2 linked regions of the Oryctolagus cuniculus genome follow. The protein of the gene in region 1 purifies or fractionates together with the protein of each later gene. This does not show direct contact. Links are inferred from orthologs where the notes say so. Each region holds a gene or a part of one and is shown on either strand. Other genes may lie near its edges.

Region 1 (4,505 bases):
ACCTGTGACGGTCATGAGAAGCGCGTTGACGGACTTATTGTTTGGAGAACCTGTGAGGAAACAGACAGACGAGGTGACTGCAGATGGCTTCACAGGTCCCCGCCAAACACGAGGAGCAGAGCCTCCGCGACGGCACATGCCGCCCCAGGGACTACAAGCAGACGCGGGCCTTCCAGCTCCCACCAGCAGTCTGCCTCTCGCTGGCGCTCAGGCTCAGGCTAATGAAGACATCTGCAAGCTGCAGAACCCCCGCCCCGTGGCCGCCGCATCTTAAGGGACACACACCAAGCTAATGAGCATCTTCCCGCTCCTGAACTCGCCTCCCCGTTTATTGTTTTATTGGCTCCAATGCTGTCCCTCGGGGCCACCCCTCAAACAAAGCACGTACACTCCCAAGCAAGCTTTTAAACAAGCCAGCAAAGCACGAGAGATGCCAATTTCCTGCCTCCCCACACAAATAAAACCATGTGACGCCGGCTTTCCCAGGCGTTCCCAGGCCAGCGCCAGGGTGGCACAGCAGCCTGAAGCTGCACTCGGGGCTCCCCGCCTGCTGACTCCAGACGAATGCTTGCTCCCGGGAGCTCAGGAACACAGTGCTTGCGAAGGCATACTCACGACTGTACCCCACGAGGGACCCGATGGCCAGAAGCAGGCTCAGGGCTAACACGGGGGCTCTCTTCTGCAGCATGTCAGAGACGAAGCCTTGCAGAGTCCCACCTTGGAGCACAAGCATCATGGCACCATCAACGTCACTGCCTTTCAAACTCGGCCCGGTCACCTGAGCAGGGCCCCACACCCTCCCTTCTACCCTTAGGTCTAGCCCAAAAATGGCCGACTCTCCGGACGCTTCTACCATCATTTATTTTACAAAGATGAACTGTTTTGTTTTGTTTGTTTACAGATTTAATTATTTACTTGAAAGGCAGAGTTACAGAGAGAGGAGAGAAAGAGAGAGAGATCTTCCATCCACTGGCTCACTCCCCAAATGGCTGCAATAGCCAAGGCTGAGCCAGGCTGAAGCCAGGAGCCAGGAGTTTCTTCCAGGCTTTTCACATGGGCGCAGAGGCCCAGGCACTTGGGCCATCCTCTGCTGCTTTTCCCAGGGCATTAGCAGGGAGCTGGATCAGAACTGGAGCATCCGGGGCTTGAACCCATATGGGATGTTGGCACTGCAGGCCATGGCTTAACACACTGTGCCAAAGTGTCACCCCTGATGAACTGTTAAATCGCCATGATGGATGACAGGGACAGAACACCACTAATCAGACATCAAAATAAGAAACAAGGAAAAATCAAAACCATCTATTATCCCTGTTTCCCCTACAAAAATAAGTTGTGAATGCTTTTTCCGATGTTTCTGCTTTTGAACTTAAATGATGAGTAAGGACTGTGCCTCACAGGCTGCTAACAGTGGCTGATAAATGTTCACTGAGAATAAATCAGCAGTTGTGGTTCGGTAAGAACTGACAGGCAGGCCAGAATGTGAAAACAGGTGATGTGGGGCCTGCGTTGTGGCACCGGCAAGCAGCTGCCTGTGACGCTGGCATCCCGTATCGGAAGGCTCCTTCCAGTCCCAGCTGCCCCGCTTCCCGTCCAGCTCCCTCTAATGCCTCTGGGGAGGCAGCAGAGGACAGCTCACGTAGTGGGGCCCCTTCCACCCACGTGGGAGACCTGACGGAGTGCTGGGCTCCTGGCTTTGGCCTGGCCCAACCTGGGAGTTGCAGCCATTTGAGGAGTGAACCAGCAGACAGGTATGTATGTGTGTTTCTTCTCTCTGTCACTCTGCCTTTCAAATAAATAAATACATATTTAAAAATAAGAGAGGTGATGTGACTGTCACACTGGACACAGGGCCACTCTGAGCTCTAGGGCTGGGGGACATGTGGCCCATCTCCATCAGACACCTACGAAGTTCCAATCTCAGGGGACACAGAGGCAAGGACAGGTCCGAAGGAGGCCATCGCGCTCTAGACTCTGGGTCTAAGAACCAGGGCAGCCAAGCGCACAGACACAGCAACCGGACATCACCAAGGAATGCGTCAGGAGCTTTGATGCGCTCACCACAATCCCACGTGTCAGCAGAAGGGCAGCAGGCACTGTGTGTGCCCGTCTGTCTTTAAAGTTTCTTAGTGCCTTGCTCATAGCACAAAGTCACTATTAAAATCTGTTGTTTATAAGGAAGCAGTTGCATAACACAAAAATTAACCCCAGCTGTTACTGCTAGCGACACCCTGGGTGTTCTTTTCCTTATTTGGCTGGGGAGACGGGGAGGCGGGAGGCAGACACAGGAACACACAGGCCTCGTAACTCCCACCTCTGACACAGTCAGCTTTAGAGAGGCAGTGAGCGTCCAGGGGAGGTTCCGTGTGTGTCCTGAGACAAAGGACCGAGAAGACCCCTGCCGCCGCAGCGCTGCCCTGGCTGCGTCTTCCTTCCCAGGGACCTCTTTTCATTTTTTTTTTTTTTTCTTTTTTTTTTTCCAGAGTTTGGCTGTTTACTGGTAGGGCACTTTAGGGAAAATGGTTGTTAACTGAAGCCAGGCTTCACAGCCTGGTGAAAGACTTCTAGTGAACTAACTCTCCTACAGAAAGAGACGCATACCTATGATTCCTCCAACGTCGTACCAAATGGACAGCTGGTCAGCTTCGGCCTCCTTCCAGCCAAAGTTGTTACTCAGATAAAAGGGCAACCAGAAGAAGAAGGAGTAATTCACTAACTTGAGGCAGGCGTAGGCCAGGGAATACTAGAAGGAAAGCACTCGATCGTCAGTGAGCACAGCACGGCCTCAGCTTTTAACAAACTTCGGTACAGGAGCTGGGGATGAGCGGCCCCTGGCTCCCCGGTAAACACCTTTACAAATCCCCATCTGCCCACGGCACCTACTCCCCCCTTCCCTTTATCCCCAGTGGCTTCTCAGGTGCAGCAGGCTTTGAACTAACACCTGCCCACGACTGTTTCATAACCACCCCTAGTCTATCCTCCCAGCAGAAGCAAACCAGTGTTTGGGACCTAAAGGCAGGGCACAGGCTCATATTTCTTGACTAGAAGATAAACGATACCCATGCAACTAACTGGCGCTAACCATAGGCAAACATACAGTGCTTACTGCAGCGGTTAAAGGTTATCCTACTTCCTGCAAATTAACACTGAGAAAGTTGGAGAACAAGGTGACTCAACCATAGTTTCAGGGTCTAAAAAAAGCCTCAATGTTAAAACTGCTTTCACACTGGAGTTAACCCAAAGCCCAATCCAGTCCCACCCCCAGCGGAAAAGAAGAAAACAAACATCTCTGATGAGCCGAACGTAAAGGAACACGCGGTCTTCGACCTGCGGCTGGCTCTCCTTTGAGGGAGGGAAAAGCTGCAGCTGCCTGCGGATGGTTGGGAGGCGAAGACTCCTATATTCAACCCGTTATGACCAGGAAGTCCTGACATTTAGCATCAAAGGGAAGAGGAGGAGGGACGAGGGGCTGACTTCAAAGGCTGTCTGGCTAGTACATTCTTTTCCCCGGAGCTGCCACTTATTCCCTAGGTATCACTTGTTCTAAAACTGCTTCCACCCCCCAGAGAGTCAAATCCCAATGGTGAGTGGATGTTCCAGACAGGCCGCTGCAAAGACAAAGGGATGGAGCGGAGTAGATTTCCTTTACACCAGTGCCTTGGCGGAGAGCAGCTGCTCGTGAAGTACAAAGGGACAGCAAGAGTTCCACAGCTAGTCACAACAAACCTGCGCCCTCTCAGAAAGGACCCACTGCCAGCACTGACGATCCTCGCACAAGGAGAGGCCTTCGGGAGCTGCATTCCCCTCCATTACAGCACCGAACGTAAGAACTGTGGGAGGTGCACTTACAAGGCACTTCAAAAACTTCATGGGAAGCGGAATGAAAAGATGTTGACTTTGGTGCAAAAAAATTTCAAAATTTTTCATTTTTCCAATAATTTTTAGAAGCGCATACATTGTAATTCACACTCAAGTATCTGTTCAAATGTTAGTTCTCTTAGCTTGGGGACACAGGAGGGAGGGCACTGGTAAGTGAGAAATAAGGTGGCCTGCAGGCTTTTAATCCAAAGTGCACCACTAAAAAGTGAAAAAACAAGACAGGTGCTTGTTCTCAACACCATAACCCAGCCTTGTGAACCCCATGGGGGCTGGGGTCACCTCCGTCCCACAGGAAACAGCACAGATGGGCCGGGTGCCCTACCCGGGTCGCACAGAAAGTCAGCTGGGAGCAGCCTAGGCCTCCACTGCCACTGCAGTGCTGAGCGCCCGAAACAGAGACCACAAAGCTGCAGGACACAGGACTCAGCTCAGACGTTAGAAAGTCTTTCGGGCTGCAAAGGTGGAGTCTGGCACGCACGACCAAGGACACCGCAGTGCTCTGCTCTAGACCCCTTTTAAGAGTGGGGAAAAAAAAGTTTTTCCTGGAACAACCAGAATGTCGGCTATTAAGACATTTAATGAACCATTCAAACCCGTTCTTGGTCCTTATTCAGTTCTGTAATAAC
Region 2 (4,952 bases), on another chromosome or scaffold:
CCCCAGGACAGCTGACATCATGCGGCAGTACCCTGAAGACAACACAGTGGTCATAATACGCAGCCTAAGCTGCTGAGCTCATGGCACTGCCCCCTTTGGTTCTCTCCCTCCATCTTGTCCCCATACTCACAATGTCTGGAGCTGTGTAAAGCCTCGGAAGGTGTCGGTCAGGTCACCCTGGAGGGGGTTTGTTTGCAGCTCTCTGCAAAGCACACACGGTCAGCACTCTGCTCATTGAAGACCCTGCTGACATTCCCCTAGCTTTCCGGAGCGGTAATGCAATTCTCATCCCGACTGTCCCAAGTTTAGACGCCGATATGCACCTCCCCATCAACCTTTAGCCATTATTCGCTTTCTGGGCAGAAGGGCACCTGACTACTTACATGATGACAGCGCTGTGTGCCTGAGGGAAGTTTGGGCCAGGCTGCTTCAGAGAACAGTTCTGGAGATCCAGCCTGAGGAAACAAAGTGTGTGTAACGATGTCTGCTTTCTCTTCTTCCACGACAAGGTCTGTGTTTGATTACGCAACCCCCTCTTCAGCTAATATCAAGTGAATACAGCAGGGTTCAGAGTCACAGACCAGATGCTGAGGTTGACGTTTTAGGCTCGCGTTACCCACTACCGTCACCCACCAGCTACCCACGGCTACTTTAACCACTTCAACCCAGCAATCCAGTGCCTCCCTCGCACTGGCCACATTTCAAGTAGAAATGTTAGTAGTGCTGTGCTGGTCAGTCCAGACATGGAACGTTCCCATTGTTAAAGAGAGCTCTGTTGCACAGCACCGCCCTCATCAGTTTGCCTACGAACATGTGCATAGACTGAAGAAATTAGTATTTGTGTAGAATAGTGGATCTCAAATTATATCGACCCTCAGATCCACAGTACTCCTTTAAGTGGAAAAAAAAAAAAGTCATATGAAAGAGAGTTTTTCCAAGTCCATTTTCTACCATAGACTGGTGACAAACTCCTGGACATCAAGGACCATGCAACATTTAAATTTTTTTTTCTGCAATACCTGTTGCTGTCTATTCCTTTATCCTACAAATATTTACTGAGACACTCTAAACTACAAAAATTGGGAGAATATAAAAAACATGTAACTCAGCATCTTAGCCCTTTACTGGCATATAATACAGAACCAGACGGTCATCAAAAATTACAATATGGGAAAAAAATCCACAGGACCATCCACAGACTGCTATGGACATTGAGGATCAGAAGTTAAAAAAACAAAAAGGCATTACTCTGAGATCATTCACCAAAGGTGTTGGAATTGCAGATCTACTATGTCCTAATTTGCTGGAGGATGGTAATTTTGGGTATGGAGAGAGGTGGGATGCCTTGGGGGGGGTGTGCCAGTCTGACTGGAGCTGGACCCTTACGGAGAGTTTGAATGGCTGAGGAATCAGGATAATGTTGGAAAAGTGTGTCGGGACTGGTCTGTGGTGCTTCATGGTTTGGCCTTTATCCTGAGGGCAACAGTTCTAAATATTAAAGCAAGGAAGTGATAACGGTAAAATTTTGCTTTTCAGAAAGTGGAATACAGAGACCCATTTAGGTAGATTAGGGAAAGATGAGGATGGAAGCCAGATATAACATCTGGAGTTTGATGTGAGGGTACACTCAGAGGATTTAATAAGCAGCTGGAGGTGCCCAGGCCCGTGGGCCTGGAGGAGTCAATGGTGCTTAGAAGGCCTGGCCTAGGCAGACCCCTGCGGAATGGGTACAGCTGAGGCACCGAGACCCAGGGAAACTCTTGTGAGTGCAGAGAAAGGCAGCAAGGCCAAGGAGTGAATCTGAGAGACTAACCTGTACAAGCAGGTAGAGGCAGAACTTGTCCCAACACAAATATAAATAAGCCAGAAAATGAACAAGAGCCGCGGAGCAGTGTCTTGGAGGAATTTCATGGAGACACACAATAAATAACCCAAAGGCTTGATAATAAGCAGACCAAAGCTCTTTTTAAAACAAAATCATAAATAAAAAAATCATAAATAAAAGCCTTAAAAAAAGCTACACAAACATTATGACTTTTACAAAGTTTCATCCATAAAGAAACACAAGGTTGTGTTTCTAACAACCTCGTGCTATGACACATTTAAAAGTTTGAGAACCAGAGTTTGGATGCCTCCAACTAGGCACCAGCGTTCATCCGCAAAGCCAAGCCGGGAAGCCGGGCAGCCGCCAGCGTGGGAACCGTTCCAGCCTCCAGGGATGGCCTCCGCGCCCTCACCCCACGATGGCGCCCGTCGGACCCAGGCAGCAGCGCGCACGCAGCGTTAGCCCCGGTGTCTGCTCACAGTAAACCGCCACTGCGGACACGTTGTGCACACCCCCTGGACACTGGCTGCAGATCTGCAGGAGAGAAAACACACGTGTTAGGCTTCCAGACAGAAAACGGAGAACCAACTGGTGCCAAGAATTCACCGCCAGTACCCCGAGCCCCTGTTACCAGGCTGGACCAGGACACTTGGGTGCCACAGCTGGCCAGGGAGGGGATGTCTTTGCTATGCCCTCCCCAGAGCCGCCTCCTTCAGACAGCCCCACCTGGCCGGGTGTAAAGAGGCTGCGGGTACTCCGAGAACTCATCAAGCTCCACAGAAGGTACCGTCCAACCGCGGCACAGTGCGTGGACAGCGAGCCCGAGAGCCAGAGACCCGTCCGTTCCAACAATGTTTTTAAGTCATTCAAAGATGAAGCAGCGAGGAGATCAAATTTCAAAGGCCTTTGAACGTGGTGTCGGCGCGAGCGCCCGAGGCCAGAGTGACGTGAGTGTCGCCGCGAGCCGGACGCGGCTGCGGGATCCCGGCGGCTGCCCTCCAGGGACGAAGCCGGGGCGCAAGGCCGGCGTCGGGGAGGGGACTGCCGCGGGCGGGCGGGCGGGCGCGACACACCGGCAGGCCAGCGGCCCTGCTTCAGCCCGACCTCAAACTTGCTCCTGTACCTCGGGTAGCGCCACAGCCCTTTCCACGCTCAGAGCGAGGAGCAGGGCCGCAGCCCAGCGCACCGGGCAGGTACGATTGCCCGGCTCGCGAAGCGCCATTTTTCGCTTCCTTCGACCTTTTCTGTGCCTCGCGAGACCACACCGCGGCCCCGCCCCCGTCCCGGGGCGTGGCTTAGTCGGCCGGCTCCTGGCGGCCGGGGCGGGCTGTGAGTTGCTGCTGGTTGCGTGGGGTACCGCGCGTTTCCGTGCGCCCCAGTTTTCGTTCTGAGGGGACTGGCGAAGGCGCCTGTGCAGACTGCGGGATCCTCCAGCCCCGCGTCTCCCGCGTCCGGACGCCACGGTGGCGTCCGCACAGCGGCTCGGGTGCCTTCAGATGCCCTCAGTAAACATGGCGGCCAGGCGGGCCGGGGGCGGGGCCTCGCTGTCACCCTCCCTGTGTTTTGCTGCCCCGGCTCTCCGGCGACCCACGTGTGGAGACCAGGCAGGTGGGCCGGGAGGGTGTGGACCAGTGCGGAGAGGCTCGGCCGAGCGACGTCAGGGCGGGGGCGGAGAGGCGGGGTGGGACGGGACCGGCAGGCCCCCGGCGCGGGGACTGAAGTGCAAACGGGGCGAGGTGGTGAACTCGGCACGTGCGGAGGGAAGGGAAGAAGCCGAGAAAGGAAGCGGTGAGAGTGATGGACCAGCGAGTGGAGGGCGAAGGGCAAACTCCGGCGGCCGGACGCGAGCTTGGGAACGCCCCGGGCACCCTGTCCCTTCCACCTCCGTGCTGAGAGCGCGCGGCGTCCCCGGAGCCTGGCGAGGTGGTAGGGGCGGGAGAGACTCTTCCCTCATTCGTCTTCCTTGCTTTTCCAGGAAAAGGGAGCGATGCTGAACTCAGGTAGAAGCAGGGGACCTTCCTAGTCCTGGCCGAGCCACGGAGGTGAGGTAAGGCGGGGTGGCGCGGAGTCCTGGCGCGGGGCGCTGGGCGAGCCGGGCTCGGGGACCGGCAGGGCTGGCTTGGTCAGGGTCAGCCGGAAGCCCAGCTGAGTCGACCGAAGCTCATTTGAGTAGCTGCTCCAGGTCGTGCTTCCGCGGACCCCCGGGATCTGCCTGGAGTCTCCTGGATGCATGTTTGCATCTAGTTGGCTGGCGGATTCTCTGAGATGTTCGTAGCCATTTGCGTTTTAGTGAGGGTCCCGAAGCCTTTCATGTCGAGGGATTCTGGGGGACAGTTGCTCCTGCTGTGGCCCCTTTGGGCCCTGTAGGGTCGGAGCAGTCGGGTGCAGCGTGTGACCACAGGGTTTGGGCATCTTAGAAGGGCCCCCCACGTGGCTGTGCCCTCCCCATGACAGGTAGCTCAGTTCTTGGCTCCCACACCCTCAGAGACTTTAGGGTTTCCATCAGGGCAGCCTGTTAGCTGCTGCTCTGTTCTTAGAATGGTGTGTGTGCCGGCGCCGCGGCTCACTAGGCTAATCCTCCGCCTTGCGGCGCCAGCACGCCGGGTTCTAGTCCCGGTCCGGGCGCCGGATTCTGTCCCGGTTGCCCCTCTTCCAGGCCAGCTCTCTGCTGTGGCCCGGGAGTGCAGTGGAGGATGGCCCAGGTACTTGGGCCCTGCACCCCATGGGAGACCAGGATAAGTACCTGGCTCCTGCCATCGGATCAGCGCGGTGCGCCGGCCGCCATTGGAGGGTGAACCAACGGCAAAGGAAGACCTTTCTCTCTGTCTCTGTCTCTCTCTCACTGTCCACTCTGCCTGTCAAAAAAAAAAAAAAAAAAAGAATGGTGTCTGAGGAAGGCTTTGTTACTCAGGTTTTTCTTGTCTTCCTGGCTCTCTCTCCTGCCATCCAGAAGGGTTCTCAGTACCCCATGCAAATAGAATTCTTTTGTCTTTAGTACTCTACTTACTTGAAAGGCAGAGTTATGAAAGGTCTTCCATCCACCGGTTCACTCCCCACATGGCCACATTGGCCAGGGCTGGGGCAGGCTGGAGCCAGGAGCTTCATGCAGGCCTCCCACATGGGTGCA

The links. The genes of interacting proteins can lie anywhere in the genome.
Region 2: the proteins of SLC37A3 (region 1) and ATRAID purify together in Homo sapiens (affinity purification with mass spectrometry; 3 studies listed by BioGRID and IntAct, counting the BioPlex papers as one, with this or other methods). This does not show direct contact. The link is inferred for Oryctolagus cuniculus from reciprocal best matches to the Homo sapiens genes SLC37A3 and ATRAID.

Annotation. Positions count from the first base shown.
Region 1 is NC_091434.1:183,658,420-183,662,924, reverse strand, and holds part of SLC37A3 (sugar phosphate exchanger 3), read right to left. Parts: intron 2,744-4,505; coding exon 2,602-2,743; intron 718-2,601; coding exon 616-717; intron 51-615; coding exon 3-50; intron 1-2. UniProt on the Homo sapiens protein: Unlike the other SLC37 members, lacks glucose-6-phosphate antiporter activity.
Region 2 is NC_091433.1:175,757,199-175,762,150, forward strand, and holds the start of ATRAID (all-trans retinoic acid-induced differentiation factor), read right to left. Parts: upstream 3,118-4,952; 5' UTR 3,048-3,117; coding exon 2,949-3,047; exon of another isoform or gene 2,594-2,948; coding exon of another isoform or gene 2,552-2,593; intron 2,360-2,551; coding exon 2,238-2,359; exon of another isoform or gene 1,912-2,237; coding exon of another isoform or gene 1,814-1,911; intron 456-1,813; coding exon 384-455; intron 203-383; coding exon 131-202; intron 33-130; coding exon 1-32. UniProt on the Homo sapiens protein: Promotes osteoblast cell differentiation and terminal mineralization. Plays a role in inducing the cell cycle arrest via inhibiting CCND1 expression in all-trans-retinoic acid (ATRA) signal pathway.